2 linked regions of the Callithrix jacchus genome follow. The main gene of each other region encodes a partner of the protein of the gene in region 2 in a complex. Links are inferred from orthologs where the notes say so. Each region holds a gene or a part of one and is shown on either strand. Other genes may lie near its edges. The genes, in order: EIF3F and EIF3D.

Region 1 (4,549 bases), on a different chromosome or scaffold from region 2:
TCAGTATAAAATATACTTGAAACATTTCCATTCTAAATTGTCTGCCTCTCAACCCTGCTCTTTCCCTATTTCCTTAAATGTCTCCTTTCTTTCTCAGACACCTTCCTGAAAGAAAGGCTGGCACTTGCTGCTTTCAGTTCAGACTGGCCATTCTCTCACACCAGATTCCTAGTTTCTGTGCCCACCCTACCCTCAGTCCCCCACTGGCGTTGCTCTACTAGGATTGCTACAGACTCCAGGTCATCAAATCCAAGAGTTACTTTTCAATCTCCTTCTGATTGGCTGTTCACCTGTGTTTTGGGGAACTAAAAGAAAGAATGCATGTCTATGTAGAGCATTTTCAGGGGAGCAGGATCATGTGAATTCTAATAATGGAAGATTTCTCCAAGGAGAAATCAACTCTTGGGCATAGAATCACGGCTAAGAAGTTCAACTTCACCTATCTACTTGCTAGCTGGATGCTAGGACTTGACCCAATTAAGGGAGTTGATGGGTTTTTGTTTTGTTTTTACAGGCAGATGTTATCAGCCCCATTATACCAAGAAGGAAATTGAGGCTAGGAAAAAAACTTGTAGATTGTCGCTAGTTACACAGTGGGTTAGGGTCAGAGCTCCCTCCTTCACATAGTGATGATAATCGCTATGACCTAATAACTACTGTACATCAGGTATGTGCTAAAAGCTTGACAAGGCAGTACCTCATATAATCTCCCAAAGTACAAACTAGTGTATACAGCTTACAACTCTACTTGAATGTCTAATGGATATCTCAAAGGTGACATATCCAGAAATGAAATCAGGATCTTTTCCCCAAAACCTGTTCCACCTACAGCTTTTGCTCTCAATTGATGGTGACGTCATCCTACTAATCGCTCAGTACAAAAAAAAATTGCAGTCCTCCTTGACTCCTCTCTTTGACACCTCACATACAATTTTTCAGGAAACCCTATTGTCATTACCTTCAAAACAGATCCATAATCTTCCTGCTTCTCAGAACTTCTATTGCTACCAGCCTGGTCCCAGCCATCATCATCTCTCACTTGGATTACCTAGTGGCCTCCCAGCCGGTCTCCCTGCTTTTCCCTTTCTCACCTTCCTCTTCCTAACTCCCCCCACTCCCCAGACTATTCTCAAAGCAGCCGGAGAAATACAGCTAAGTTCTCCTTCTTGCTCATTGCAGCCTCAAGCTCCTGGGCTCAAACAATCGTTCTGCCTCGGTCTCCCAAAGTGCTGGGATTACAGGGGTGAGCCACCGCGCCCGGCCTTAAAATGCTTTTTTTTAAGGCACTTTGATTTCCATGATCTAAGTCTAAAACACGAATTTCCACCACCGCGCTGCTGTCTGGTTCCACCTGGCGGCGGCTGCACAAAGTGTTTCTCTTTGAACGCCGTGCCAAGTTTACCCGGAACTACTTAGCCCAGCTCTCCCTGAGTGCTCCTCGGGCCAAAAGCAAACAGCACAAATTCCGGAAGAAATTACCAACAGCGGGACCATTTAGCGCTCCGGCTGTAACACCAGTAACCAATAAACAAAAAGCTCTAGTTCACGTGGTGTATAGTCAGCCTATCAAGCTCCTGATATTCCTGAATGCCCTCGTTTCCGCTCCTGTCGCATTCTTTCTCGACAAGATGGCCACGCCGGCGGTATCACCAAGTGCTCCTCCTGCCACGCCAGCTCCGGCCCCGGTGGCGGCCCCAGTCTCGGCCCCAACCTCAGTTCCAGCCCCAGCGCCAACGCCAGCACAAGCTGCGGCTCCGCCTTCCGCTGGGACTCCAGCCTCATCCTCAGACTCTGCGGCAGCAGCGGCTACGACTGCGGCTCCTGGCCAGACTTCGGCCTCAGCGCAAGCTCCGGCGCAGACCCCAGCGCCCGCTCTGCCCGGTCCGGCTCTCCCAGGGCCCTTCCCCGGCGGCCGCGTGGTCAGGCTGCACCCAGTCATTTTGGCCTCCATTGTGGACAGCTACGAGCGACGCAACGAGGGTGCTGCCCGAGTTATCGGGACCCTGCTGGGTGAGTGGTCATAGAAAGTTAACATTCTTTACTTTCTCCCACTTCTCATTTATCTCACTTCCCTATCTCATTAATTCTTTCATTCTTGGCGTTCTTTCCTCCCATCCCCAGTGACCTCTTAATCTATTTTTCTGTTTTGTCTTCTGCTGTGACTTCTCAAGTGATTTGCTCCTCTCCTCTCTCTTCTCTCTTCTCTCTCCTGCCGGATTGCTGTCACTTTGAGTGACGTAAAATAACAAAGAGTAATTGTGTCATTTGCTGAATATTTTATGCCAGTGGTTTACATTTTTGAATGTTCCCCACAGCAGGTTATGGCAAGTATGATGAGCCCCATCTGCCAAAAATGAGTGCACATGCTGAGTGGGAAGTCAGGAACCCTTGACTCCCTAAATCCAGTGACCACGTATTTCTGCTTTATCCACCGACTAAATGTCATTGTTTTCCAAGTATTGACAGAGTTTTCTAACCAATTGGCAAAGGAGTGGGGACATTTGCAAAAAGGCATTCCTCCCAGCAAGTAAACCGGTTTGGCTGGAACCCATTTGGGATTTTATAGTATTCTGCTGTCCTAAACTTTTGAGCCTGATTCTCTGATTCTCAGCATACCTTAATATTAGTACCTAATGTGAGAAACCCTGTTCTCCCATTTTCCATTTGGACACAAACTATTGTATTATCTGTTTATATCTCTGCCCTTAATTTTCAGGTCAAAGAATAACCCATTCTCTGCTTGTGTTCCAAATTTGGGGAATAGATACTCTGTATTAAAGTAGTTTGTAAAATGAAAAAGCACGAAAGAGGGATTGTTGATAATTCCTCTCTGGAGACTATACTGATCCCATGAAATCCATCTCCATTCCATGTTAGTTCCAGATTTTTTATTTATTTTTTAGTAGAGACAGGGTTTCTGCGTGTTGGTCAGGCTAGTCTCAAACTCCCAACCTCAGGTGATCTGCCTGCCTCGGCTTCCCAGGGTGCTGGGATTACAGGTGTGAGCCACTGCACCTGGCCAGTTCCAGATTTTAAATAGCTTTGTGAATCCACTTTACTTACAAGCATCCTTTCTCTTTCATACTCTTGAACATGTACTGGTTCTTACACCATAAAAGACAATTGATATATTGCAAAGCAGACAAGATGTGTAAGCAGACTCCACACAATTTTAGCCATGTGACTTGACGCAAATTACCTAAAATCTGTTCTGTCAGGATCTACTTTAGACTTAGTCTTCGTGAGAACTAAATTAAAAACTTCTGACTATGCTGGTACACATTAGGTACAGCTATTAGTTGCCATTCACCACATCAGGCCTGGACCGACCCAATACATGCCAAAACACATTTTCTCTCCTTTATCTATTTTTGACAGTATAGCATTTTACAGAAACTTAAATTCATATCTTCTGAACGTTGCCTGTCTTTTCTCAAACCAAGCCTTTGTGTTCTCTTTGCCACAGGTGCCTTCCTTGCTGTCCCTCATTTATTTAACTTCTGCCTATCTCCCAGGTTCCCAGGAACAGCATTAAGTGCCAGTCCTCCATCCCATACCTGGACCCTCACTCCATTCTTAACCTTCCACAGCATGATGGTGTTCTGTAACTGCGCCCTGCTTTGAGCTTCTGTAATAAATTGTTTTTCCTCACTGACCTGGCACTCAGCAAATACTTACTCTTTTGGTTACACTGTCTCATTTTCCAAGCTCACTAGAGCTATTTAAAGAGACAGTTCGCTACCCACAGTTTATACTTTAGCACCCCAAATGTTCCAGTGATCCAATCAGACCAGCTGTAATCTAATCTAGAGCTTCAGATCTTCTTTCAGACTGGAATCATGGTACAGTGCTATAGGTGTTATAGGGGCAGTGCTTCCAGAAGAATAAAGAATAGATTCTGCTTGCTATAAACTAAGAGTTTCCTTAGATATTAATTCACAAAACATTTTATTTGTCTAAATGAAGTCATTGGTGCTTTTTTTGTACCATAAAACTGTTAGGTATTTAGAATTCAAAGTGTAGTAAGGTAAGCTCTCCTGTAACCTTAAACTCAAGATAGAAATATACTCTTAAATGCAAATAACTAGAATGTAATATAATAAATGTTCTAATAGAAGGGTGTCATGGTGGCATGGAACTACGGAAGACTTAACTATTTCAGAAGGTTAGGGAAAAGTTCACAAAAAAGATGGTGTTTGAGCTGGGCATTAAAGCAACTACAGGAAGTTAAAAAGGCCTGATAAGCCCACTATCTGAAACATTCAGTATTACAGGAATGTAGGTGACAGGAGGTAGAGCAGGAAATGAAGCTAGCAGAGGGCAGAGCCCTAAGAAGTATTGAATAATTACAAGTGTAAAGTGCTGTGAAGGAGAATTACCTGGGTCTCTGAGAAGACAAAATGGAAGTGTAACCTCATTTGATGCTCTTTGGGGAGGATCCTGAGCATTTCAGCTAACACTGAATAGAAATTAGAAATCACTCTGACTTTGGGAGGCTGAGGCGGGCAGATTGCCTGAGCTCAGGAGTTCGAGACCAGCCTAGGCAACA
Region 2 (3,148 bases):
GCTCTCTGACCTTGCAAAAAGTTCCTGCCCTTAGAGAATTTCATTATAGTGGAGGAGGAAGCACAGTGAACAATAAACTCAATTTATTTACATCAAATGGTGACTTGTGCCATGGCAAAAAATGAAGGAGAGATGGGCATGGTTACCAACTAATTGTCCTAATTCATCAGGTGCTAGCGGTTGGGAGGGGTCAGGTAGGCATAAGACATGCAGTGAGCTCAGAGCCCCATCAAGGGCCCCAGGAACCTGGCCAGGGCTGCAACCAAGCAGACGTGCTGGGTCTGATGATTGGCCTTGCCAACAGAGTTAGCTCTGTCTTGTGACACCTTTGTTGTTTTTGCAGGGGAAGGAAAGATACAACTTCCCCAACCCAAACCCATTTGTGGAGGACGACATGGACAAGAATGAAATCGCCTCTGTTGCATACCGGTAGGTGACCTCTCTGGTGGGTATTGTGACCAGATTGGAGCACGGGCCCTACTGTATAGGATCCCCAGTGACCACATGAGTCTCCTTCGCTGCAGTTACCGCAGGTGGAAGCTTGGAGACGATATTGACCTCATTGTCCGTTGCGAGCATGATGGCGTCATGACTGGAGCCAACGGGGAAGTGTCCTTCATCAACATCAAGACGCTCAATGAGTGGGATTCCAGGGTGAGCTGCCCTGGTTCCAGGGTGACCTCCGTCACCCTCCTGGTGACACCACGTCTCTATTCCCTGCAGTGCCTGTTAGCACAGGCTAGTTTGTGTCAACTGTTTCTTTTCCCTTTCATTACTTACAGAGCTGCCTAGATGTTTTTTGTCTTGTGAGTTTTTTCCTCTGCTTAGCTCCTTGCTGAGAAAGAGCATGACTGCGTGTGTGGAACTATGTTAGGTGTTACGAACTTTTCTGCTTATTTCTACAGAGGAACTGGTTAACTCCCTTCTTCCAGTACTTTCTTCACCTCTGTTCCATTGTGGCCTCCTGTTGGCTTCTGCTCTCTGAGCATCTGGGTTTTTTTCTCTCCCTATTATCTGGGTTGGCAGTTTTCCTGTAAGTCTGGCCGCTCTTCTTTCTGACCTCTTCATTCATTTACTGAGCCTTCAATCTTTTGATACCCTTTTTCCCAATTCCTCCACTTCTTAAACTCACAGATTCTAAGATCTGGCTCAGAATTGACTCTTCAGGGGCACCTTGAAAGAAACATGCTTCCTTCAATTTTCCTCCTCTTTCCATTCCCCCCTCCTCATGCTCTTGCTCCATGGTAGGAGGGCCGTTATCCTGTCTCAAGTCACCCAGCCTTACGTGCCACATCAGAATTGAAGTAGGTGGCAGTGCTCTTGGGTGCTCTAAAGGGCACTCTGGGAAGGGCAGCTCCAAGGCCCAGCCTGTGTTGGATAAGTCTTTCTGAGATGTAGTGCAGGGGGCCATTCCGTTCAGCCTGTCTTAGAGCCAAGGGAGTAGCATGGACTGCTGCTGAGTCTCATCCCCAGGGGTTTCTTACCCCCCATCACCTGTTGACAGAGTACACTGGAAGGTTTGTTGAGACCTGGCTCTGGGGCCTGTGGCCTTTTCTTGTACTTTTCCCGGTGAGCTCCCCACAGCATTCGGGGTCGTCGTTCCGTGTCGCTTTGCCCTCCGTGTTACTGTGCCCTCCGTGTTACTGTGCTGCTCGTGTCTCAGCCGTTTCTCTGTTCCCTTCGCGTGCTGTCTTTGCTGGCACCCCTCCTTGATCCCAGTGGAGTCAGCTGTACAGCTCCCTTTGCCATAAGTACCTCTTTGTTACACAGCTTTGTATTGATTTTCTTTTGCTCTATGACAAATTAACAGAAACTTAGTGATCTAACAGTGCCGATTTGTTAGCTCACGTTTTATAGGCTAGAATTTATAGGGCTGTGTGCTTGGTTCTTGTATTAGTCCATTCTCACACTGCTATAAAGAAATGCCTGAGAGTGGGTAATTTATAAAGAGGTTGAATTGGCTCACAGTTCTGCAGGCTGTACCGGAAGCATGGCTGTGGAGGCCTCAGGAACTTGCCATGGTGACAGAAAGCAAAGGAGAGGCAGGCACATCTACCATGGCCAGGGCAGGAGAAAGAGAGAGGCGGAAGTTGCTATACACTTTTAAACAACCAGACCTCTCGAGAACTCTACCACGAGACCAGCACCAAAGGGGGAAATCCGCCCCCGTGATCCAGTCCCCTCCTGCCATGCTTCTCCTCCAACATTGGGGATTACAGTTTGATAAGAGATTTGGGTGGGGACACAAATCCAAACAAGGCAGAAATCACAGTATCAGGAAAACTGAGTTCTCATCTAAAGGTTCTGGAAGAAAAGCCACTTCCAAGCCCATTCTCGTGCTTCAGGTCTCTGGCTTTCTCTGTGTCTGACCTTTACACCTAAATTTAAGAGACTCATACAGGCCAGGCGTGATAGCTCATGCATATAATCACAACACGTTGGGAGTCCAAGGCGGGTCAGTCACTTGAGGTCGGGTGTTCAAGACCAGCCTGACCAACATGGAGAAACCCCATCTCTACCAAAAATACAAAATTAGCCAGACTTTGGTGGCACATGCCTGTAATCTCATAGAGTTAGGTGAGGCCCAGCCAGGTAGTGTATATTAAGGTTAACTGATTTGGGGCCTTACATCTGCACAATCCCTTTTGACATAAAAGGTAGCATAATCATGAGGGTAATATTTGATCCTAGCCATAGGTTCTGCCCACAGTCAAGGGGAGGAGATTCTGTAAGGGCAAGGGTCACTGGGGGTCATTTTAGAATTCTGCCCACCACAAGCTTCAACTATAAACTCGTTGAAAATAATTTCTCAAATCTCCTCTAATTTATTAGACTTCCCATTGTTGTTCTGCTAAAACACCTTCCCCTTCCATTTGTCCTCAGTCTCATCATTGCCTCTGGGTCCGCTGTCCATCAACGTTGTCTTTCTCCTACCTAAGCTCTGAGCCTCCAACATCTCCAGCTCCTTTTTTACATTCTTCTGTTTCGGTGTTAGCAAAGTAGAATGCTTTGCTGTCTTCTGACTCAGTCCTGGATTTCACTGACCATCACCCTAGTTCAGGGCCCCATTCATCATGCCTGTTTGGCATTTGTCTCCTAACTGACCTCTCTACCGCCACCCAACTTCTATATTTGATTTATCTCTGCC

What was found.
Region 1: EIF3D (region 2) and EIF3F share a complex: the UniProt entries of both Homo sapiens proteins name them as parts of the eukaryotic translation initiation factor 3 (eIF-3) complex. The link is inferred for Callithrix jacchus from reciprocal best matches to the Homo sapiens genes EIF3D and EIF3F.

The regions. Positions count from the first base shown.
Region 1 is NC_133511.1:73,844,874-73,849,422, forward strand, and holds the start of EIF3F (eukaryotic translation initiation factor 3 subunit F), read left to right. Parts: upstream 1-1,612; 5' UTR 1,613-1,628; coding exon 1,629-2,010; intron 2,011-4,549. UniProt on the Homo sapiens protein: Component of the eukaryotic translation initiation factor 3 (eIF-3) complex, which is required for several steps in the initiation of protein synthesis.
Region 2 is NC_133502.1:207,468,219-207,471,366, reverse strand, and holds part of EIF3D (eukaryotic translation initiation factor 3 subunit D), read left to right. Parts: intron 1-343; coding exon 344-429; intron 430-524; coding exon 525-654; intron 655-3,148. UniProt on the Homo sapiens protein: mRNA cap-binding component of the eukaryotic translation initiation factor 3 (eIF-3) complex, a complex required for several steps in the initiation of protein synthesis of a specialized repertoire of mRNAs.